Kluyveromyces lactis: one gene and its partners. Each later gene encodes a partner of the first gene's protein in a complex. Links are inferred from orthologs where the notes say so. Each region holds a gene or a part of one and is shown in the gene's direction. Other genes may lie near its edges. The genes, in order: PHO23, RXT3, KLLA0_E19933g, SAP30, RPD3, DEP1 and UME6.

What was found.
Region 2: PHO23 (region 1) and RXT3 share a complex: the UniProt entries of both Saccharomyces cerevisiae proteins name them as parts of the RPD3C(L) complex. The link is inferred for Kluyveromyces lactis from reciprocal best matches to the Saccharomyces cerevisiae genes PHO23 and RXT3.
Region 3: PHO23 (region 1) and KLLA0_E19933g share a complex: the UniProt entries of both Saccharomyces cerevisiae proteins name them as parts of the RPD3C(L) complex. The link is inferred for Kluyveromyces lactis from reciprocal best matches to the Saccharomyces cerevisiae genes PHO23 and DOT6.
Region 4: PHO23 (region 1) and SAP30 share a complex: the UniProt entries of both Saccharomyces cerevisiae proteins name them as parts of the RPD3C(L) complex. The link is inferred for Kluyveromyces lactis from reciprocal best matches to the Saccharomyces cerevisiae genes PHO23 and SAP30.
Region 5: PHO23 (region 1) and RPD3 share a complex: the UniProt entries of both Saccharomyces cerevisiae proteins name them as parts of the RPD3C(L) complex. The link is inferred for Kluyveromyces lactis from reciprocal best matches to the Saccharomyces cerevisiae genes PHO23 and RPD3.
Region 6: PHO23 (region 1) and DEP1 share a complex: the UniProt entries of both Saccharomyces cerevisiae proteins name them as parts of the RPD3C(L) complex. The link is inferred for Kluyveromyces lactis from reciprocal best matches to the Saccharomyces cerevisiae genes PHO23 and DEP1.
Region 7: PHO23 (region 1) and UME6 share a complex: the UniProt entries of both Saccharomyces cerevisiae proteins name them as parts of the RPD3C(L) complex. The link is inferred for Kluyveromyces lactis from reciprocal best matches to the Saccharomyces cerevisiae genes PHO23 and UME6.

The regions. Positions count from the first base shown.
Region 1 is NC_006039.1:1,143,101-1,146,062, reverse strand, and holds PHO23 (Pho23p), read left to right. Parts: upstream 1-1,227; coding exon 1,228-2,403; downstream 2,404-2,962. Other genes in the region: CRC1 (carnitine:acyl carnitine antiporter), read right to left, coding at 1-144; Ras family GTPase RAS1, read left to right, coding at 2,887-2,901. UniProt on the Saccharomyces cerevisiae protein: Component of the RPD3C(L) histone deacetylase complex (HDAC) responsible for the deacetylation of lysine residues on the N-terminal part of the core histones (H2A, H2B, H3 and H4).
Region 2 is NC_006038.1:261,940-264,847, reverse strand, and holds RXT3 (Rxt3p), read left to right. Parts: upstream 1-1,427; coding exon 1,428-2,393; downstream 2,394-2,908. Other genes in the region: RPL31B (60S ribosomal protein eL31), read right to left, coding at 515-571. UniProt on the Saccharomyces cerevisiae protein: Component of the RPD3C(L) histone deacetylase complex (HDAC) responsible for the deacetylation of lysine residues on the N-terminal part of the core histones (H2A, H2B, H3 and H4).
Region 3 is NC_006041.1:1,774,021-1,777,726, reverse strand, and holds KLLA0_E19933g (SANT/Myb-like DNA-binding domain-containing protein), read left to right. Parts: upstream 1-1,441; coding exon 1,442-3,193; downstream 3,194-3,706. Other genes in the region: KLLA0_E19955g (3'-5'-exodeoxyribonuclease), read right to left, coding at 1-510. UniProt on the Saccharomyces cerevisiae protein: Component of the RPD3 histone deacetylase complex RPD3C(L) responsible for the deacetylation of lysine residues on the N-terminal part of the core histones (H2A, H2B, H3 and H4).
Region 4 is NC_006041.1:986,043-988,575, reverse strand, and holds SAP30 (Sap30p), read left to right. Parts: upstream 1-1,452; coding exon 1,453-1,953; downstream 1,954-2,533. Other genes in the region: KLLA0_E11243g (putative endodeoxyribonuclease), read left to right, coding at 251-1,225; CUE1 (Cue1p), read left to right, coding at 2,398-2,533. UniProt on the Saccharomyces cerevisiae protein: Component of the RPD3C(L) histone deacetylase complex (HDAC) responsible for the deacetylation of lysine residues on the N-terminal part of the core histones (H2A, H2B, H3 and H4).
Region 5 is NC_006041.1:185,582-188,845, reverse strand, and holds RPD3 (histone deacetylase RPD3), read left to right. Parts: upstream 1-1,370; coding exon 1,371-2,669; downstream 2,670-3,264. Other genes in the region: PEX6 (AAA family ATPase peroxin 6), read left to right, coding at 1-1,032; lumazine synthase RIB4, read left to right, coding at 3,155-3,264. UniProt on the Saccharomyces cerevisiae protein: Catalytic component of the RPD3 histone deacetylase (HDAC) complexes RPD3C(L) and RPD3C(S) responsible for the deacetylation of lysine residues on the N-terminal part of the core histones (H2A, H2B, H3 and H4).
Region 6 is NC_006042.1:735,758-739,376, forward strand, and holds DEP1 (Rpd3L histone deacetylase complex subunit DEP1), read left to right. Parts: upstream 1-1,296; coding exon 1,297-3,117; downstream 3,118-3,619. Other genes in the region: rRNA-processing protein NOP12, read right to left, coding at 1-520. UniProt on the Saccharomyces cerevisiae protein: Component of the RPD3C(L) histone deacetylase complex (HDAC) responsible for the deacetylation of lysine residues on the N-terminal part of the core histones (H2A, H2B, H3 and H4).
Region 7 is NC_006042.1:1,922,696-1,926,973, forward strand, and holds UME6 (DNA-binding transcriptional regulator UME6), read left to right. Parts: upstream 1-1,452; coding exon 1,453-3,816; downstream 3,817-4,278. Other genes in the region: KLLA0_F20658g (uncharacterized protein), read left to right, coding at 1-404. UniProt on the Saccharomyces cerevisiae protein: Component of the RPD3C(L) histone deacetylase complex (HDAC) responsible for the deacetylation of lysine residues on the N-terminal part of the core histones (H2A, H2B, H3 and H4).

The DNA.
Region 1 (2,962 bases):
AGGATGTCCGGTCAACACTGCACAAACACCTCCAACACCGCCTGCAGCTAATGACTTCAAATTTTCTGTTAATTGTGACTTTGTTTGGGAAACATCATTAACATGCGATGTTTCCAATTCAATTTCAATGGAGGCGTCACTCATTTTTCCCTTTTCAATAGTGTTCGTCGAAGTGATACTGTATATATATACGTTAGCTTTGGTGCACTTTGATCAGACCAATTTCATATACCTCGGTACTGAATGTTCTTCTTATCTAAGTGTATGCTTCAGGTTTGCACCGAAAGGCTGTGATTTATATATCTACGAAAAAAAAAAAAAACGTTTCTCTTCCTCATGAAAGTAATTAGCCATGATATTGCTGATCATTAACATCATATCATCATCATAATCATCAAACATTCAGGATTTTCTTTTGGTCCAGGATTGTGACTTTCTTGGTGAATCATTATAGTCATCACCAAAAAAATTCTCAAGTTAACGGACTTTGTAGAGATAATCTAGGATTGATACAAGGAATCAGTACAACATTTTGTGTGACTGGCCGTTAGAAATAGAATCAGCCCTGAATGCATGACAACAAATGAAAGAACAGATACTCTACAATTTAAGTACAAGGTCATGTGCTGGAACATCTCCAAATTCGCACGGGATCCCTGCGGCTGTTTCCCTGCGTGATCCATTCATTATTTCTGATACATATTCCCTTTTTACCTTATTTTACCCGATGCCGACAGGATTTAGTGTCAGCAAAATTCTAATCGCCTTTTTTTTTTCTATTTAGAGCGGGGGAAATGAAGTGACAAATGTGACACAGGTGGAAGGAGACAACAGTGAAAACAAAAAACATAAACAAAAGATTGCGGACAGGGTTTCACGGATGATCGTAATCAAACAAACCCCGAGCTTTCCATTGTATAACCTACTTAGAATCCAAAACGATTATTTAATACCAATCACGTGATAATAATTTTCACGTGATCTATTTTTCTTTTCTTCAGGTTCTCGCTTAGTCTTATTAAAAGCTTTGAATATCAAATTTATACCTTTTCTTTTAGGTCAGGTAACTAGAATTGTTTAGCATACCGGATAAGTGCACGCAATACAATTACATGTTGTATGTAGTGTATTGACATTTGTGTGATTCAAAAGATCTCTCAATCCAGTAGGAATCACAAGCTGTACTACATATCACGATAGCGAGACATAGACAATACAACTCAAGATATGGCAGCACCTGCAAATTTATACCCTGGTCTTAATGATATTAGTGATGTATTGGAAGAGGTGCCATTAGACGTTTCACGGTACATGACTCTACTCTATGAAATTGATGCTAAATGCGTTAATATAATTCCTGAACTAAATAAATGCATTAAAGGATTCCTTGGTGGGAGAAACGTTCCTGATGAGTCCAAGGTTCCTCTACGTGTGATAAACCAATGGTTTCAAGAGCTGATCCCGTCATTGGAAGAGAAGATGCATGTTTCATCTATAGCCTACGATTCTTTAGAAAGGTTAACGGACAGGTTGGAATTAGCCTACGAGGTTGCTATTTCCAATCAAGAGATTCCAGAGAAGTTAAGACTAGGTAACGATAACCATCCAGCGATGCATTTGCATCGTGAGCTTATGGCTAAGGTCGAATCAAATGTAATGACGAAGTCTCAACAAGCACTGAAAAGTGAATCCCGTAGAGAAGCCATGGCTGCAAAGAAGACAACTGGGGGAACTGCTGTTCAAGGTGGGAACGCTGCTGGAACGGCAAATTCAGGTTCTGTCGGATCCACAGCTGGTTCTACTTCAACTTCTGGAACCGGTGCCTCCACAGCAGTCGCAGGATCAGAACCAGTAGTTGCGGCGGTAGGATCACATGGAAATGCTCCAAACCAAGGAGCAAACACTCAAACAAATGGTCACAACCGCTCTTCCACTATGGCAGGTCATAAGAACGGAAATGCGCATAACCACAACCATAATGACAATAGCCATTCTCATGCAGATGATATACAACCAGCGAACACTAAGAAAAGGAGAAATAACAACGGGACAACTACTGTCTCAACATCTAGTTCAAACAATAACAACTCTTCTGCAAATAGTACTGCCGCACAAAGAAGGAACAAAAAAAGAGTAAACACCACGGCTGCTAACAATGGCGTTACCGGGAGTAACACGACAGCTGTAAATGCAGTCAACGCATCAAATAAGTATCAAAACAGACCAAAGATCAACGAATATGGAGAAGCACTGTATTGTTACTGTAATCAGGTCGCATACGGAGAAATGGTTGGATGTGATGGCGAAAACTGTCAATTAGAATGGTTCCATCTTCCCTGCATTGGCTTGGAAACGCTACCTAAAGGGAAATGGTACTGCGATGACTGTTTGAAAAAGAATTAGCTAGCTGCACCAACATAATATTTACCACCGGAAATAAATATAATATATATCACTGTCTCGTCACTCAGTTCATGATGCATAAATGCAAAAGGAAAAAAACCCTTGAGATATTCAACCTCGATCTCAGCAACTACTGAGAATATAATTGATCTGGTCAAGCATCATTTTTTTGGGAAATTCTATTTCCATTTCCATTTCTTGTCGAAAGAAATAATAATAAGCAAGCAGCAGCATCGTATTGATGAGAAAAAAAGGGTTCCTTCAATTCATGTAATCTGTCTCTTTTCGCATACTTACCGAATTTGAAATAAAAATTTAGAAAAATAAAAAAAATTTTTGTTGTACCTTATAATAATAAGCTTTGTTAAATTCTACTTATGTACGTTGACAACACCTATGCACAATCATTGCTCATATCATAGGGAAAAGAGGGACCTCGTTGTAGATTAAAATAGTGAGGGATTTACATTTGTACACTGCGAAATGTCGTTAAATAAAGTATGTTATTGTGTGTGTGCTGGAATATGGCTTCTGATCTCCTCAGTTTGTCTCTTCTTTG
Region 2 (2,908 bases), on another chromosome or scaffold:
CATATTATTCGAATTACCAAATGGTGGGAGCAATTGGAAAATACCTGTTCAAGATACTGTACTGTTAAGATGTTGGAAAAAAAAAGGAACATTGATCATAAGTAAAATACAGTGCGTATTCACCGATAATGTCGTCTCTTAATCGCCTGTTTCACTCGGATAAAAATCAATCATCAATATTCAAATTATTTCACATTGATAAACAAATAACCCATCTTTTCAACATTATATTCCAGAAACAAACTTAGCGTTTTCACAAGGACGTATAGCATGGTGTATATTTTCTCCACATTCTAATGATATCAAAATAAACTAAATAGACTTCATCTCCGGTCTTTAATATCCACATATTCTCCCAAAGTATCTCCATTGTGTGCAAACTTACATGCAATGTTGCATTCAAATACAGTATATGATCTTTAAACTCCCCTTCTCATTGCTCTTATCCACTTTGGTATCTATTGTGTAATTTCACTTCGAAATTTTGTTTCATCATTGGTAAAAGCTAACATACTCTTTTGTGCATGTTGATGGTGTATTCACGAGTAACGACGTCTTTCAAACCGGCCATTTTGTATTCGATAGTTCCTCAGTGTACTGCTTCGTTCTTCTCTATTAAGAACCAACACACAAATCAAATAAACAGTATCGTAAACGCCTATTAACATTCAGAAACCTCTAATTTCACCACTTACAATATAGCTTATTTCTCAGTATCCAAATAATATTTCATCGAAAATCAACACTTTCTCTCTGGTACTGGAGGGAATAGACTAGGCACTAGGCTGGAGCAAGGCAGCCAGTGGTGGGTGAAACGCCTAGTATGTCCAAACCTGGCTGGGTGGCTGCCCAGGCTGGTTCCAGTAGACGGAGGAATGCCTGCACTCTGGACAAGGAATGGTTGCCGGCTGGGGTGTAGAGCTAGAAAGGTGAATTGGCATCCTAGGCAGAGTGGGTAAACCTGTCATCGGAGGCCGCCGGGCGTTGTCAAGCGAGGTTCCTCAGGCCTGTATCATTGCTTCCCACACACAACATGTCCTAGAAATGTTTGTGTCATTCGAAGTGCGAAATGCGGAATGAAAGTTTCCTATTATAGAAAATGAAAACATAAAACTATTTTACATCAGAGTGCACGGATGTTACAGTGGAACAAATGAAGCCTCACGAATGTACGGATGTTATAACAGTCCCGTATATAGACTATTATGGTCAAACTGGTGATGAATGTTGTTAATGAAAGAATCTCCATCTGTACATCGAATACACAGTGAATTCATAATATAAATCGAGAGAAATTTACTCCTGAGCAGGGTCGATTGATACATTATTACAAGCTGAGAACTTCGCAGTGGCTCAATTGATTAGTTGCCGATTGTATAGCTGGTAAAACTTTGATTTATTCAACAGCTTTCAGCCACTGTTTGAATATGAGTGATGAGTTGTACAGAAAAACCCAAAACAGGATATACAGCATGCAAGAGACACTGCTGAATAGTTCTAGGGAGTCCAAACAGGCCCGAGATCAGGATACGGGTAAAATCGGATCATCATCATCAGAAGAAGCAGTTGCTGCACCGGCTAATACACAGAATGTTGCAGATGAAAGTTCCCAAACAGGGGAACCTGAAAACAACACTACCCTTGAAACTGCAGCTCCAGACAGCAAACCTGAAGATGACGAAGACGAAATAGACGTAAACTCTAAATCTGTCCTTGAATATACAGAGAAGAATTACGCACTACAGCGGCGCCCTTTGGCCACCTTGGAGTACGACTCCATGAGAGTTGGTGTTTTTCCTGGGGATCCGAAATTGGAAGCCCTTCCATTCCCTTATAATTTCAAGACCATCAGATCTCCGAGACCTTTTATTCCAAGGATGTCTCATAACCATATCAACTCAATCCTTACAATACAGATCGATTCCATATATTTACAACAAGTGGCCCGTAGTGAGAACATACGGTACCAAAACCGAGAGATATGGGGCACAGATATATATACCGACGATTCGGATATTATATTAGTACTTCAACACTGTGGAGTTTTGCCATTTTCTGAACCATTGGATCAAAACAGCAATGGCAAGCCATCCAATGTTCACTCTTTGAAAACTAAATTGAGAAGAACTCCTACAAATATGTCGGACCAAAATAGTGTGACAGGAGCAATCCCAGAACGTGAAATTCCATTTGCGATCAAAGTGGACATCCTAATGTTACCACCTCTTCAAGGTTATGCGTCATCCACGAGAAATAATATCACATCCAGAGAATGGACAGGGCAAGTCCATGACGGTTTGTCGTTCGGAATTTTCCATGTTGATATTGTGGTGATGGACAACACATTAAATGAGATACAACAATCTGACAAGACTAAGTCACTAAAGTGGTAACGCTGCATCAAGAAAAAGGCCAGCAGCCGGTATCTTCCGTCCCCCAATATATTTTCTTTCGTCATGTGTCTCGTACAAGTGACGAGAAAGTTGACTTAAATCGGTTATGTGCAAGCCGTGCGTACTGCATCGATGCGTGCCGAAAAGAATATGTACATTTGTATATGTAAAAGCGTTGTGTATAGATTACTCAACAATGTAATATCATAATAATAACTACCATTATCTCCACTGCCATGCAAACCTTCTAAACATAGAGGTCTGATATATATGCTATTTTATACGTCCCTGCAACCTTCTTTTAAATTGGTTGAAGGTTCCTTCTATTCTTTTAGTGACATTCAATAAGATTAATAATTGGGAAAAAGATTTGAAAAGACCGACCATAAGAGAAGTGTTCGAGACGTTAACGGCTACAAAGTGACCCATAAGACCCTGAATCTTGTTTCTTGGTATACTTAAAGATTAGGTTAGAGTAAGGGTCTCACTGATTCTAACTTCTGGGTGACTTTTTA
Region 3 (3,706 bases), on another chromosome or scaffold:
TCTAGCTTTGGTAAACTGATGGTTTTCAATTGCAAACGGAAGATCCTCGCTTGAATCTGATTTCCGGTACGATTTTGAGTGTTTGGGCATGAATTCGTTAACCTGACACGGATGCACCCCGATGGTGTACATCATCTTTGGTCCATTTTCAGTTGCAAATTCACTACAAAGCTTAATGGAATGTCTCGATTCTTCCAGTGAAGATCCGGTAATCAGCAGCTTATCCACATTAGTCAATCTACAACGGTTCAATATATTGGATAAATCCGTCTCGTGCTGCTTCTTGCCATGGTATTTCCCTTTGAACATGTGATCAGAGATATTGAACCCAATGTCAAAGTACCTTATCTGTTTCAAACCTGTCATCTTCTGAAGTGCTCTGGACATATACAGTGTAGAAGCTGTTTCACAGTGATATACAATGGCCATAATGAACCGAAAATATGCCAAACAAACAGGAAGTCCTTTTATCGTTCTGAAGTGGGATGAGTTGCATATCCTCTTGCGCATCGTGAGATGGCTTGTACAGAATTTTCGAGTGTTACCCGGATGTAAGGTTAAGCTCCACTCTGTGACTCAAGTCCGCATGGAAACATTCACAGACCGTACATGCCACACGATGTCCAAAAATATCGTGTAATGGGTATCTTCCGAAGCCTATCCAATGGCCTACCAACGCACTTATCACCTCCCGGAGTGCATCCCCCTACCTCCCATAAGCTTATTTTGACACATTCTACACACTACTGCAATAGCTTTCCGAAGGCGTAGACTAACGCACCAGTCCCAAACCAACCGGGGAACCCCATTTGCAAGAAGTACACAGACGAAAAAAACAAAAAAAGACACGTGAACGGTAAGATACAGGACCCTCACTCAGTATACTCACATCACATCTCATCTCTTCTCATCTCACCTGTCACCTCATCTCATCGCTGTCACACTGAAAAAATTCGAAATTTTTTTTTTTTCCAACTCATCGCGACGAAGAAAAAGCCACTAAACTCGACCTCATCGAGTCTTGTCATTTAACTTGACACTCTTTGTTTCCTAGGCAGAAACCTGTCTTTATTGGTTCAGTACTCAGTCTGACCTCAGTGATATCGACTCAGAGCATAACTGTCAATACGTTAGTTTATTGTTAGCCGATTTTGGAAGGAATTTAAGGCGATTTTTTGTTGTTTAAAAAGAAAAATCGTTCATAAACTACTGTCGGTTTTATTTTGGACCGTTCAAAATTTTTATTCCCTCTCGTTGTGTTAATGAGAACAGGTCTTTGAGCTAGAGAATTAGAGCTATTAGAAAGCTGTTACTGTCGTTTTGATTACATTTCGAAAATTTTTGAGCTGAATTTTGGTTTTACTGCTCTAAATAGTGGATTTTGTTTTGGTTGCTGATACTTTACAATTATAACTCACAATATTTTTAAGTGAAAGGGTAGATGACTGCACCAAAAAACGTTTCCAGTAGGACTCCGAGTTCGTGGGAACCTCAGGACGATGTCTTGTTGCGACACTTGAAAGAGGTGAAAAGACTGGGATGGAAGGATATTGCTCAGTATTTTACGAATAGAACTCCTAACGCGTGCCAATTTCGGTGGAGAAGGTTAAAATCTGGCAGTTTAAAGACGGTGAAGTCGCCAGAGGAGGAGGATGAGGAGGAGGATGAGTTGTTAAATGTGACTGTTCCAGTACTTGCTCCAATGGCTGTTTCTGCAGGACCTACGTTGAGCGCGGAATCTTTAAACACTGGGTCCTCTTCGACGGCGAAGAAGAATACGGCAAAGAAGTCTAGTTCTACGGGACCGATGCCCATGCCCATGCCAATTCCGACCTCAAAAGTTACCAATAGTGCCGTTCTTTCGTCACCTCATGGGTTGAATGGTAGTGGGAGTGCTACTAATAATAACAATAGCAACATGGGTGTTTTTTCGTCATCTGCTGCTACAGCTGGATCTAGTGTCCTATCGGTAAACGGACTTGCACATTCCGGATCGTTGTCCAAGTCTCCGTTCTCTACTGCTTCTCCTGCTCCTCATGGGAAATTTATAAAGCCCAGGTCTTCCTCTCATTCACAGGACGCCCCACCAAATATGCCCCATTTCAATGATCAAGAGGAAAATTTTGGTTTTATTCCAAAAGTCTTCATCAAGAGTAGACGTGGTTCCGCGGTCGTTGTGAATAACACTCCACAATCGAACTTGCCAAACCTGGCCAGTACGAAATCAAGGAAAAATTCCTTCTCCTCGCGCTCCAGACGTTCCTCTTTCAACGTAGCATCCGACAGGCATTTCATCCCAATGTCTTCTAACGGATCTTCTAGAAGATCTTCCGTTGTTGTCATGCCTTCATCAACTTTGCCCGCATCTTCCGCGAATCCAAGGAGAGAAAGCTTCACGACGAATCCATCTATGTCTAGAAGGAACTCTGTCTCTCAGTTTAGACGTGAGTCTATGCAAGCAGGTTTCATTGATATGCCCATAAAACAAAGCTCTCAACCCCCTCCTTCATCCGTATGTGCCGTTGGATCATTCAATGGCTTTGCAAAACCTTGGTCTGGCGATGAGGATAAGTTGTTGGTAGAAAAACGTCAAAGGTACCACTTGTCCATTGATGAGCTTTCAATCTTGTTACCTCATAGATCAGAACAAGAGATCCAATGGAGAATGGATTCGTTACATATAACGCCTAGCGATGCAGTTAGTACTGCTAGTCCTTCCGCCAATGTTAATCAATCGAGTTCTTCAGATGAGGTCCACTCTACTTACTCACCAGATACTGCCGTAGAGGAGCATGACGACATTGACGATGTTGATGTTGATGTAGAGATTGTTGGCCGCATGGAAGACTCTATTGCCCCAACTCAGCTAAGAGATGAATCTCCTACGTTTTCTCAAACATCTTCGACTGGTTCTTCCGCTCGTGAGAGATCGCCAGTGTTTTCACCGGACGCTCATTCCTTGAGAGACCATTCTCCAACTATTTCTGATGTGAACAACTCATCTTTTTATGGCAATAGGATGCCTGCCAGCGTACCGAAGCAAATTCTTCAAACACAGGCTAGTAATGAACAAACGCCCCAGTTCACTCCGAATTCATCGCAATCTCCTCAACCACCACAAAACCATCGACTACCGCAAGTGCCAACTCAGCCACTGCCTAGTTTGAATACGATATTCAAGCACATTGTTTGATGATAAACTGTCTGTATTAATACCATTATCAAGAACCAAAAACTTAAAAAACTACTTTACAAACCACTTTCAGACATGTATGAACATGAACCCCGAAGTGTATCGTGGCGCCAGTCGCTGCTACTTCAATCATCATTGTCGTTGATTTACTATCACATAAACGCACACACTTTCCTGATTATGACCCCATTGTACAAGTACTATAACTACAATAGAACATCAATAATACTGTTACAGTGTTATCTTTATGCCAAATCATTTGAACTGTACCATATGGTTATTTTTTGTCATAATAATGTCCCTATTCAGTTTATTATAGCAAAGGGACACGGGCTGCTCCTTTTGCATAAACACTTAAATGAAAAGTGCGTACTATTACGTTGTTTTGTTATTTACATTTTACTGCTATATCAATGATGGCATTAATTTTCGCTATTCTTACAATCATATACATATATACATGCATATATTAGATATTACACTATTATCAGTTTTCTTCTCATAAACACATGT
Region 4 (2,533 bases), on another chromosome or scaffold:
TGTTTAAAGGCAAATCTGGGAATTTTTTTTGGGGGCAGCCCGAAAACGGGGTTGTGGGAGCCCCCAAAACAATAGTTTTTCCGGCAACTCAATTTCCATGATTTTCCGATAGAAAGAGTCCCAGGTGATTCAAAAAGTATACCTTTGGAACATATTGGTGAATTGGGACAATTAAGGCAATTGCTATGGAATTAGGGTTCCAGTCTGCTATCAGGTGAGTGGTAATTGGGCTTGGTTTTGTGGGGCAAGAATGGTTCCATGTCTTGTCGATGCACATTGCCATGTGTCTACTATGGTGGATGCTGTAGGATGCGATAAGATCAGAAGCAATTTGGACCTGGCCCTTGCCGGAACGGCAAGTGATGTCCAACGGTGTGTCATGAGCACGAATGTGTACGACTGGGAATTACTGGAGCCCCTGCTGCTAATGAAACAACTGGATGATGAAGGTCCCGGAATCAATGTTAGTCTTGGTGTGCATCCCTGGTATTGCCATTTATATCAGTTAGATAGGTCGCTTTCTAAGGTAGGGCATTATAGGAATTGTCTTAAATGTAAAGACGAGGTACAGTTGATGGAATTGGTAGAGCAATTGCCGGATCCAGTAGATTTGTCAAGTTACTTGTCAGATGAGCGGGTTTCTCGTGTGGGTTGTATTGGCGAGATCGGATTGGACAAGGTTTTTCGGTTGCCTCAGAATGGCTTTCTCGTGAGCAATAATGGGACATCGTTGGAAAGAAGTAGTTTAAGCAATGTAAGGGTAGAGTTTGCACATCAGATCCAGGTATTTGAAACGTTATTAAAAGTTGCAAAGGGAAGGGGGTTGCCGGTTTCGATCCATTCTGTGAAATGTCAAGGTACTACTTTTGATATTTGCAAGAGAATATTATTGGATAGCGAGGTGAACATATGTTTGCACTCGTTTACTGGGACATTGGATACGGTGCGGCTATGGCTGGCGAATTTCCCACATGAACGGCTTTTCTTTAGCGTTTCGTGTTGGATCAACTTGAAAGACTGGGATTCTGGTGCTGAGCTGTTGAAGAGTTTGCCCTTGCAGTGTATTTTGACAGAGACAGATTGTTCTGTGGATTCAGTGTCGTCGCAAGAGCAACGACAGATGCTAGATTCCGTTCTTGACGCCATTTCAAGAGCTCACGGCATTTCCAGGACTAAGGCGATGGACACGGTATTACAAAACTTCAATAGATTCTTACGTAAATGAGATGAGACGCAGGGACTGCATGTATGTTCTTTGTTTAATGTAGTCATCCTCTATATCTAATTCCAAGTTATTCCCACTTATCTAAGAAAAAAAAGTGTCTTAAGTACAAAATTTTGATCTTTTTGAACATTTGTCCAGGTGGTAAAGGGCATTACCATGTACTGCTCCATACCATCTCAGGTGTCAAATAGAGTGGGTGCTGTACAGTCACAAGGATCTTACACGACATGGCACCAAGGGGACACAATAACTCAAATTCAGAGTCCGAATCTAAGGGCAAATCATCGAACAATGCAACTTCAGGTGCATCGACCAGGACCAGTGTGAAACAAAGACTCTCGAGTGCTCAACAGCAATACTTGAAGGACTTGAACAAGAAACATATACATAACAATCATCCGAAGAATGAGCCGCTCCCAAATCCGATGGATTTCGAACAATACTCCGATGAATTTTTAAGGCGGTATAAGGATAGGTTCCAATTGAAATCTCCAGATAATCTATCAATACAAGGGTACCTTCTAGGATCAAGGATTGGGAAACATACTTACTCGGCGAAACGAAACCAGAAAAATGTACCAGATGCAAGGGTTACGAAGCAGGAGCTTGCGAAAGGTGTCAGGGAACACTTCGATAACTATACCGTTCGAGAAGCGGAATGCCTTCCTCAGTTTATTTACAAAGTACAAAATCAGAAAAAGAAGTTCAGAATGGAGTTTAAGGGATGAAGCGGTGGTGTTGCATAGCTCACTTCCATCTTGGGCATGTAATTCGACATCAGCCTAATGGCTTCATCTATTTGTAACATATATGAATAATATAGAACGTAATAATCAAGGATATCAACGGAAATCTATTTGGAACTAGCGTTCTATACGCTGATTATATGCACTGCAGTGAAAAGGACAGATTGCACAGCAAGCTGTACACACGTCCTTCTGCTCTTTAACATTTTTTTCCTTTACAGGTCGTTTACACAATTTTTCTCTTTAATAAGAAATGAATGATATTAATTATCATTCACAAGTAAAAACTGTAACAAGACAAGTATTTGCTCCATAACCAGGCATACTGTGTTTTCCTGTCTCCAGAATAATTAATATCACAGCAATATATTGAGAGCAGACAGAAATTATTGTGTTAGATAGAGTATCTGAATTAAAACTTTAATCATGGCGGATCAAAGTTTCACATTATTTATCATTTTGGCTATTGCCGGTTATATTGCTGTGAAATGGTTTTTGAGCAATAACGAACAACATCCATCCATCCAAATCAATGGTTTTTCTTCGCAATCAGACTCTGCCA
Region 5 (3,264 bases), on another chromosome or scaffold:
TACAAATGTTACCAACGTCTAAAGCAGAACGACCTTCTAATTGATATGACCGATATAACTGCAGTCATAAATATTGCAAGAGATAGATTCTCAGACTCTATCGGAGCTCCTAAAATTCCTAACGTGACTTGGGATGATATTGGTGGGATGGATGTGGTCAAAGGAGAAATCATGGATACCATAGATATGCCACTCAAGCACCCTGAACTATTTTCATCTGGTATGAAAAAGAGAAGTGGTATTCTTTTCTATGGACCTCCTGGGACTGGTAAAACCTTGTTAGCGAAGGCAATTGCGTCTAACTTCTCTTTAAATTTTTTCAGTGTTAAAGGGCCTGAACTTCTTAACATGTACATTGGTGAATCCGAGGCAAATGTTAGACGTGTCTTCCAGAAAGCAAGAGATGCTAAGCCATGTGTCATTTTTTTCGATGAACTTGATTCCGTGGCACCAAAGAGAGGAAATCAGGGAGATTCTGGGGGTGTTATGGATCGTATTGTGTCTCAACTTTTGGCAGAACTAGACGGAATGAGTTCAGGAGGAGACGGAGTGTTCGTAATTGGAGCTACGAATAGGCCAGATCTTCTTGATGAAGCATTATTACGTCCCGGTAGGTTTGACAAGATGTTATATTTGGGGATATCAGATACCGATAAAAAACAGGCAAATATCATCAAGGCTTTGACGAGAAAGTTCACACTAGAATCTGGTATCGATATACTAGATATTGCCAAAAAATGTCCGTTCAACTATACAGGTGCAGATTTCTACGCATTGTGTTCTGATGCCCTTTTAAACGCTATGACTAGAGTTGCTGGTGAAGTTGATGAAAAGTGGGAGAAGTATAACATGGAAAATAAAAAGAATATATCATTGAGGTATTGGTTTGATAACGTGGCAAACGAGAATGACTTGAAGGTCGTGGTAAAATTACAAGACTTCGAGCTTGCTCAACAGAATCTAATACCAAGTGTTTCTGAGGATGAATTAAGACATTACTTGAGATTAAAGAGTAGTTTCGAATCTCAATGATCGTTAATAAGTAATCATATCGAATATTATTATAAATCATATATAACAAATATATTAACTCATCCATGCAGGATGATCTGGTCAGTAAAAAGTTGGTCTACTTCTTAATCTTCTTCAACTCGTGTAACATGACAGATCTCTTTAAGGCTTTTCTTCTTTCTTTAGCTGCTTGGAAATTCTATATTGATGGAGACGGTGAAAAATGAAGGTAGTGATTTCTATTAAAACCTTGATTTATGTCGAAAACATACCAAGAAAGCTATATAAACAAGAGGTGAAAAATTTGTACCGGCTCTCCAACTTAGCGAAACTATTAAGATTAATTGTGCGTGGACGGTATGGTATACGAAGCTAAACCTTTTGACCCGATAACGGTGAAGGCTAACGAGAAGAAGCGAGTTGCATACTTTTATGATGCTGATGTGGGAAACTATGCTTATGGTGCAGGACATCCTATGAAACCACATAGAATAAGAATGACACATTCGTTGATTATGAATTACGGTTTGTATAAGAAGATGGAAATTTACAGGGCTAAACCTGCAACGAAACAGGAGATGTGTCAGTTCCATACCGATGAATATATTGATTTCTTGTCTCGAGTCACTCCAGATAATTTAGATATGTTCCAAAAGGAGAGTGTGAAATTCAACGTTGGAGACGATTGTCCTGTGTTTGATGGTTTGTACGAGTACTGTAGTATATCTGGAGGTGGTTCTATGGAGGGTGCAGCCAGATTAAACCGAGGCAAATGTGATGTTGCCATTAACTATGCTGGTGGTTTACATCATGCCAAAAAATCGGAAGCTTCAGGGTTCTGTTACTTGAACGATATAGTGCTAGGTATCATCGAGTTGTTAAGGTACCATCCTCGTGTTCTTTATATTGATATTGATGTGCATCACGGTGATGGTGTAGAAGAAGCTTTTTATACTACGGATCGAGTTATGACATGTTCTTTCCATAAATATGGGGAATTCTTCCCAGGTACTGGTGAATTGAGAGATACTGGTGTCGGGAAAGGTAAATACTATGCTGTGAATGTCCCATTAAGGGACGGTATTGACGATGCCACTTACAAATCGGTATTTGAACCAGTCATAGGTAAAATTATGGAATGGTACCAACCTTCTGCCGTGGTACTCCAATGCGGTGGTGACTCTTTATCCGGCGATCGTTTAGGTTGTTTCAACCTTTCAATGAAGGGTCACGCAAACTGTGTCAACTACATGAAATCGTTCGGTGTTCCTCTCATGATTGTTGGTGGTGGTGGTTATACAATGCGAAACGTGGCTCGTACATGGGCTTTCGAAACGGGTATTCTGAATAATGTGATTTTGGATGAAGAACTTCCTTACAACGATTACTACGAATATTATGGCCCTGATTACAAATTGGATGTCAGACCATCTAATATGTATAACGTCAATACACCGGAGTATTTGGATAAAGTGCTACTTAATATTTTCAGCAATCTAGAGCATACTAAATATGCCCCAAGCGTTCAACTCAATCACGTTCCTCGCGATGCGGAGGACAAAGGTGACGCCGAAGAAGATACTGCAGCTGCGAAGGACACTAGAGGAGGTTCTCAGTATGCAAGAGACATAACCATTGAGAATGCAACCGAATTTTAGCCAGAAAACAAAAACAGATGATCTTTTATTATTTACTGTATTATAATATATTTACACTTAGAAGTACTCTTCCGCATTTGCTACAGGTTTTATCGTCACTCACCTAATCACTGTTATATGTCATTCATCCGACGGTTAATATGATGCTGAATATACAGATTGGTGCCCAAGTTAGAATTGATCTAATGAGGTCAATTTTCTATCGTGTTTTCCCTCCGTCAGTATCGGTATTTGCCATAATTTTCCACGTAATACTATTCCAGTTCAGATATGACTTACATCTGCACTTCGGTTGTCAGTAACAAATCTATATATGAAAAAGATCAAAAAATGAAAATCCAGAAGCGAATGGATATTTAAAAGTTAAGATCAGATAGGTCGATTACACAAGAATAAAGCTTATCCTATTTCATATAGAGATATATATTATCTGATAGTAGATACGTTGTATCTAAACATTCAAATCACAGTTAGTAAATTTTGCAATGGCTGTTAAAGGTTTGGGTCAATTGGATCAAGTTTATGATGGTTCTAACTTGAGAATTGGTATCGTTTACGCTCGTTGGAACAGAACAATTATCGATGCTTTGGTAGA
Region 6 (3,619 bases), on another chromosome or scaffold:
CATTTGGTACATTCCCAATAAAAATTGTTCTCTCAGCCTTGGCTAGTTCCTTTTCTTTCAAATTGATAACTTTAGCAGATTCAGATTCCGTGCCGGTAATCGAAGACTTATCGACTGCAGTTGCTTCATCTTCATTATCACTATCGGAAGAGTCGTCCTTAGGTTCATCCTTAGGTTCATCTTTAGATTTAGAATCACCTAATACCTTAGAATAATATTGAACTTCCAAATTATCATTCTCTTCATCATTCTTCTTGGTCTTCTTCTTTTTCTTCTTCGGCTGTTCTTCCTGTTCTTCCTGTTCTTTCTCTACTCCTTCGGAGACAGTAGAAGCACTTTCCTGGACATTCTCTTCTTCTTGTTCATCCTTATCCTGTTCAGGCTCAGTTAGCACAGTCCTAGCTTTCGACTTTACTTTACGCTCATCGACATGATTAGGTTTGGAGAATAACGCTGCAATCGATGATGTACCTGCCGCGTCTGATTTGGAATTTCCAAATAAATTGTTCAATGCGGACATCCCGTAATATAATTTTGGTTTGTTATGTTTGAAAGACCCTGGTTCACCAACACAAACGTTATTCCTCTGCACTAAACCTGCTGGTGGCTGTCCAAGTCTCTTCGATGCGATGAGCTTTATCCATTTGTCTGTTGAATTATCGAAAGTGAAAAACCTGCACTTCCTAGAAAAGCCAGCAGAAATCATGAATTTACCACCAAAAAGAAATGCGGAAGAAAAGCGTACGCTCTATGGACAAATCGAATGTATCGTAGTCACGTGATTAACACCGTGGAATGTACTATATGGCCGGGTAACATCATGTTCCTTTTCCTTAAAAAACGTACAAACTGTAAATAGTGCTGAAATGCCGAAATATAAGTTAAGAATAAAAATACAGTCTGATTTTAGCATGAACATATAGTTATGGCCAGTCAGCAATCAATACATAGATCTCATCCAAACGTGATTTAAAATATTGTGTACTACTAAGAATAGAGAGAGATAACTGTTTTGCTAGTAAAAATAAGAATTACGCGAAGTAAGGTATATTTGCAGCCCTTTGTTTTAGTGTGTCAGGTATCAACTTTCAATCTATTCAAGCAGCAATTCTTAACTTATACTGCGCATATTAAACGGTTTGCTGGTTAAATTTTGTGTGTTTCTGCATTGGAGTATAAGCTAAGTGTTTTTTCTTTGCCATCAGCCGATTGGAGTAATACAAAGGTTGTATTGGTTATATGCGTTGGGATTTCTTTCTTTTTGAATTCAAACGGTACTATCTTTGAATCATTCAAATGGAGCCAGAGAGAAACAAAAATAACAGTGTAGAGGCTGCGAGTGAGATTGACGATCATAATACCAGATCTGCCCCCACTACGAAACTTACCAAAGAAGTTTTAGAGAAGATTGCTTCGGATTCTGATTCTGTTAATTTTAACGCAAATAGTTATTCAAGGAAATCGAAATCAGGGAGTCCCTCAAAGGTTGGTACATTAGAATACGACGATAACAGTACCAGTGGATTATCTAAGGTCACTTCTCCAGAACATCCAAACTCAGTCTCTCTATCGGACATATACATCTCATCAGACGCTGAGACCGAAAAGATGGATTTAGAAGAGGACGAATCACGTGTCAAACTATCGGAAATGGCATCCAATTCGATTGAAAGTAACGGTAATGACAAAAGTAAACAAAATGATGATAATCTTTCGAAGACTGTAAAACAAGAGTACATCAATAATGGTGTCGGTAGTTATATTCAAGAATCTGCCCCTAAACTTGCTACTCCTTCAAAAGATGAGGGACCAATCGTTCAGCAAGATAAACCAGCCGAAACAGAACCTGAACCAGTACCGTATGAAGATGACGCTGTTGCTGATACAGATCATACAACAGAGCCAAATAAACTTGCACTAAGCCAAAACCAGGACGAAGTATCTGTACCTGCCGAAGGAGGCAGTCAAGAAGAAACAATTGCAAACGATGAACAAGAACAGCATGCTCCGGTAGTAGAGGAGCAGGCGAATGATAACGAGATCAAATCGCAAGAAGAATCAGAAGTGTCTTTAAAGCATAACCGTGAAGAAGAGCAACAGTCCCTAGAGAACGGCTCGGAGCATGTCAAGTCTGAACAGGTGTTCAAGAAACCGAAATTACCTACTGAGTCAAAATCAGGTCACTATGAAGACGAGCATGAAACGCATGAAAACGGAGATCATGATGTTGATATCGACGCGGATGCAGAAGCTGAGGATGATGGTACTCTAGAAAGTGAGGTTGAGGACAATAATGAGGATGAAGAGGAAGAATTAGAACCCGAAATGGACGCAGTAGAAGAAGATAATGATGAGAAACAACAGACAGATACACCTGGCGTCGATTCTACCGATAATGGACTATCGCCCATGGAGAAGGAAAGGATAAGACAAGACGCTTTGGCAGAACTAACAAATATTGAAGTCGAATTTGCTCAATTGCGACAGAGTCTATATGAAAACAAGCTGAGCAAATTACAGAATGAGCTACAGATGTGTCTAGATGGATCACATCCTCAACTACAGACTTATTATCAGAAGATTGCTTCGATACGGGACTTTAAGCTAAAGAGAATGTACCAAAGGCAAAAGTATGAGCTGGAGTGCATAGATACCGAAACTAGGGCGACAAGAACGTTTATTCATCAAGATTTCTACAGAAAGGTCTCAGATTTGAAACATAAGTTATTAGGAAACACAACCCAGAAGTGGTATGACATCAATAAAGAGAGACGTGAAATGGACGTTGTTGTACCTGAAGTAAATTATCACGTTCCAATAAAAATTTCAAATAAATCTTTGAGTTGTATAACCGGATACGCAGCTCCTGCCAATCTGAGACGTCCAGGCGACTTGTTATCAGAAGATTTATTATGTGAAAATATCAATTTCAGATATCATAACAACCCTGTCGATAAGTTAGAAGTCATTGTAGACAGAATGAGGTTTAATAATGAATTGAGCGACTTAGATGGTATAAGGAAATTCTATGGAGGATTCCCAGGTGCTCCTGAACTTGGTGGTTTAAAAGATTCTGAAATTCATGAGGATCTTGCAGGAATACAGCATCAACAATAGGTCATATAATTTTTCACTAGGTGCTCCAAAAACCAGAAAACACGCTCTTATCAATAGTCAATAAAATGTCATCTTGATGAATCATCATTTAATTATCGTTTTGTTATGATGTGTAATCTTTACAAGTATAATATATGCATGACTGTGTATATGTATAGCACTTTTAACATTTCCACGATATGAAAGTGTATTCGAATTGACATCTGTGAATTCGAGAAACCTTGATATTTTAAAATATACAAAGATGTATGTTATATATGGAATAGAAGATATACTTCCTACTAATTAAACATTTGTTGGACGTTGGTAGAGATAAAAGCGTAAATAATAAAAAGATGAGAAAGAAACCCCAAAAATAGTAGTCCTTGTGAAGTGAGGAAAGGTTGTGATGAATTGGTCAGATTCCAATGTGAAGCGAAATATCTTTATTTTATTAAGACACCAGGATAGAAATAAAACTTATAATAAACCGTATCCAACCCGATGATATTTTTCTATAAGA
Region 7 (4,278 bases), on another chromosome or scaffold:
AAGTTGTCGACATGAGAAGATCATTCTTCATGATGAACCCTGAAAGTGAAACACCATACACTCAAGTGTTCAAGGACATCTGGAGCAATCAATTCTTGTTTTGGTCCATTGTTGGTGGGTTCTGTTCCGTGTTCCCAGTGGTTTATATCCCAGTAATCAACGACAAAGTGTTCTTACATTACAATATCAGTTACGAATGGGGATTCGCAATCGGATTTAGTTTCGCATTCTGGGCAGGCGTTGAATTATACAAATATGGTAAGAGACATTACTTCGGCATCAAGGACAGAGTCGACAATCCAGAAAATGATTTAGAAAAGAGAGCAGTGCACGATCCGTTCGAACAATACACTACTTCCTTCTCCAGAATGAATACTTTTCACAACGACGAGAAGACTATCTGAAAGTTGAAAAGATGCAGGAATAAGCGGTGCTTTTTAATTATTTTTAATCTACAACTTATCTGGAACAAATGTATATTAGCAAATCCATATGATAAGTATCATCAATAATTTAATTTTTATAAATACCATACTACATTAACAAAAGTAGTTTATCTCACTTTAGATCGATTTTACTCTAGTTTCCCGTCAAAACTCTTTATATTTGGCCTGAATCGATTAAGACTTTGGGCCCAAAAGTTACTAAGCCGGAACAACTGATTATGACCGGGTAATACATGGTCTTTACTCTTTTCAAATCTTTTTCTCCCTTTCCAGCGTGTAAAATAGTTTCAAGACAATTTTCGTCAAGCGATACGCCCAATGGATAAGAAAAGTCAAAAACAGTCAAAAATTATTCCCACGGGTAATTAAAGAAACCCACCATCTTAGCGGGCTACATATGTAATCAGCTACTGTATAACAGCAGTGCACCTTACAAACTTCAGATATCCTACTAAAAACAAAAAACCGAGAAGCAAAGCAAGGTCAATGAGCTTGCTTAGATGGCTAGTACCATTGCCGTTCCCTTTTTTCTTCCCTTTTCTCCCTTCTGATTCGTTTTCTGCGCTTGTTTTCCTGTAGTTTTTCGCTCAAAAAAAGGCAAAAAAACGCCTAATTGAATCTCGTTCGAAAATCACATCCAAGGCGTTGTTTATTTATTTATATAAATCGAATTTTACAAATGTTTGATTTCTCTTACTTGTTTTAGTTTATTGTAATATACTCTACTTTATTTTTTTATTCTTTATGAATGCTTACATTCATTGAAACCGCGATCCTCTATGAATTGACAGGCTTCTGGTTCAATCTCTCTTACTAATTACGAACCCGCTCATTCCGTAGCTCCTGGCTTAATACCTGATTGTGTTTAGTTTCAAGAGTCTTATAAGGGGGTGAGGAGAGAATCGGTTTTTTTTTAACTCAAGAGTAACACAAACTCTTGGCGCTAAGCGCTGGCCTGAAACTTAGACTGAAGTTTTCTTCAAATATAAAAGAACCTTCGGAATAGATGGTTCGTCAGAAAAGTCAAATTGAGCGGCGTGCTGTGAACTCTGTTCGTTTATCCTCCTCTTCTCCGTTATCTTCCAAAATGCATGTGCCGGAGAAAAGTACCCCGCCAAGTTACCCTGACGAACATTCAAAAACAAACGCCGCCCAAGTGGAGCTAACCGCCCAGCGGGAAGTGACCAAAATTGATGAAAAACAAGAAAACGAAAAACAACAACGAGTGAAAACAGGTGAAAAACAAACGCTGCTGCGACATACACCAAGGCTCAACCCCTTGATACATTTAGCGATGTCTCCTACTGCTGCTCCGAATAATACGCCTGTGGAGGAAAACGATCTACAACAGGGTGTTATCTCTCCTTCACGTGGAGAGCCTTCCGGGATTCCAGGGACAAAGCCTCAAACCGAGGTTTTGCCGCCACTTCCTCGTTACGGAGAGACTAAGCAAGAGGAAAAGGAGGTTGCCGTGAAATTTGAGAAAAAAACGGGTACCCAAGACTTTGATCACGTGGTTTCGGCTGATAAACAACATGTTCCAAAAATAAATACGCGTACACCATCTATCTGTATATCCAGTAGCAATACGCTGCCGAACACTGGGAAAGGGAGTAGCACCTTATATCAAGACTCGCGCACTCCCGTGTATTTGTTCAACGATAGGATAGACTCTGGTCAAGTGAGTGAAACAGAAACACTTCACGATTCAAGAAAGGGCGAGGAAATTCAAGCTGATACTGGTAGTCATCAAAATGAACGCATGCTGCGACAAAGCGGACATAGACTCGAAGGCAAAAAGGGCAATGGCAGAAACATTGGTAATCCTGGAACTGTTTCACATGACGGTGCGAGCGGTATTGCTGCGCCTTCATCTTCGCCGATCCTTGAGACCTCGAGCGCTTCCCGTGATAGAGATCTGCATGCCACAGGAAGCGCCATGACTCCAAAAAGACTACATTTTGATTGTTCCACAGAGAAAATAGATCCGGGTGCAGGCATCTCATCAATTTCAGCTCAAAAGATCAATATTACTTCATTACTAAACTCGAGATCGACAGCAGAATCAATCTCGCCCCCTCCATCTACGGCAGGAAATGAATACACTATTCATTTCCCATCCTCAGCAGCGTCAAATCCTCCTCACTCCACAGGATCCTTCCTACATCCAAAATATCAAAATCAAAACCCGCAGGTCTCATCTACCATGAATAGAATTGTTTCTCCAACCTATATGTTCGAAACCGATCAGGTTCATGGTCCTTTCAGTAATTCTAGTAGTGGCAGTAATAGTAGTGGCAGTAATAACGGTAGCACAGCAAACAGTAATAACAATAATACACATATTACCTACCAACCGAAGTATTTCAACACAAAATTCGATGAGTTAAGGAATAGAGTGTTATTAGGATCCTCAAACGCTTTTCCGAAAGTAGAGTCGGCTAACAAGTATCCATATAATAGCACAATGGTCAACCCAACTTTGAATGATCAAGATTCCAACGTGGATGCGGAAGCTGCCGCAATCATTTCTCAGATGAGGTCTTCCCCATTACCCCCATTTAACGAACAGTTCGGCTCTGGCAATCATGATAGCCGACCGAATTCGTCATTATCAAACCAATCTCTCCAAAATAATGCCTTTAATCCGTTCTCCAAAAGACTTTTACCTAAGCCAGTGCTTCGGGTTAACCAACGACCATTGACTGGCAACCAGGATGAACTCGTTATAATGGAAGAAGAGGATGATGATGATGACGGGTATGGCGATGGTGATTACGAAATGACCGAAGGGGGATCAAAGGCACCAGAAACTGTTGCATGGAATAAGAATGGAAAAAGAAGATTGTCCAGAAGAAGATCAGGCCCACCACATTATCAATCTCAATTGACAGGAATTAAAAATGAGATTGGAGACCATCCAGATACTACGGCATACCCCGCTGCGGATATCTCGGAAAATGGTATGCATATAAAAAGATCAAGGTCTTCATCATTATCTACTGAACACACTGGATTATTGTCACCGAATTCCAAACATGCCAAACAACTGAAGTTTAAAGAATCTAATTACAATAATGATGTTTCTAACGAGCAAATGGTCAAATCAAGTGATCAAATAAAGAAAAGAAATGCTACGGGGGCACGGTCAAGAACTGGCTGCTGGATCTGTAGATTGCGTAAGAAGAAATGTACAGAAGAGAAACCGCAATGCCAGAACTGCGTGAGGTTGCACCTCGAATGCTTTTACGACATAGTAAAACCCGATTTTATTTCAGATCCTGCTAAAAAGGCAGCAAAACTCGAAGAAATTAAAAAGAAAACAAAAGAAGCTAAGAGACAAGCAATGAAAAAGAAGACTTGGTTATAATCAAAGAGACAATCATCTCTAAATTCTTCTCAGACACACATCTGTATCATCAGGTGTTCTCAGTTTTTTTACAATAATGGACAACCCCTCAAAACTCTATAGATACCATTTTTGACTGAACTTTTATGATTATGTTCACCTCCCAATATATAATATACTCAGATATATTTGCTGTAATAAATGTGTAGACTGACTTTAATATACAATGTATGAATTGTACGTATTTTAAGCACAAAGCTTAGGGAATAGTATGGAAATGATTTCAAAAGACAACGTAGTTCAATATTTAAACTTTATGCTGCTTTCAAAGGAGGATTGAGATGATATGAGGATCAACAAAATAAAATAAGATAAAATAAAAGAACATACAAAATATAGACACATACATTACAACCAAAATTTGGAATAATTAAGATAAAATTTAAAAAAGTGTCGTTTCAGTAACTAAGGAATAGAGAAAAA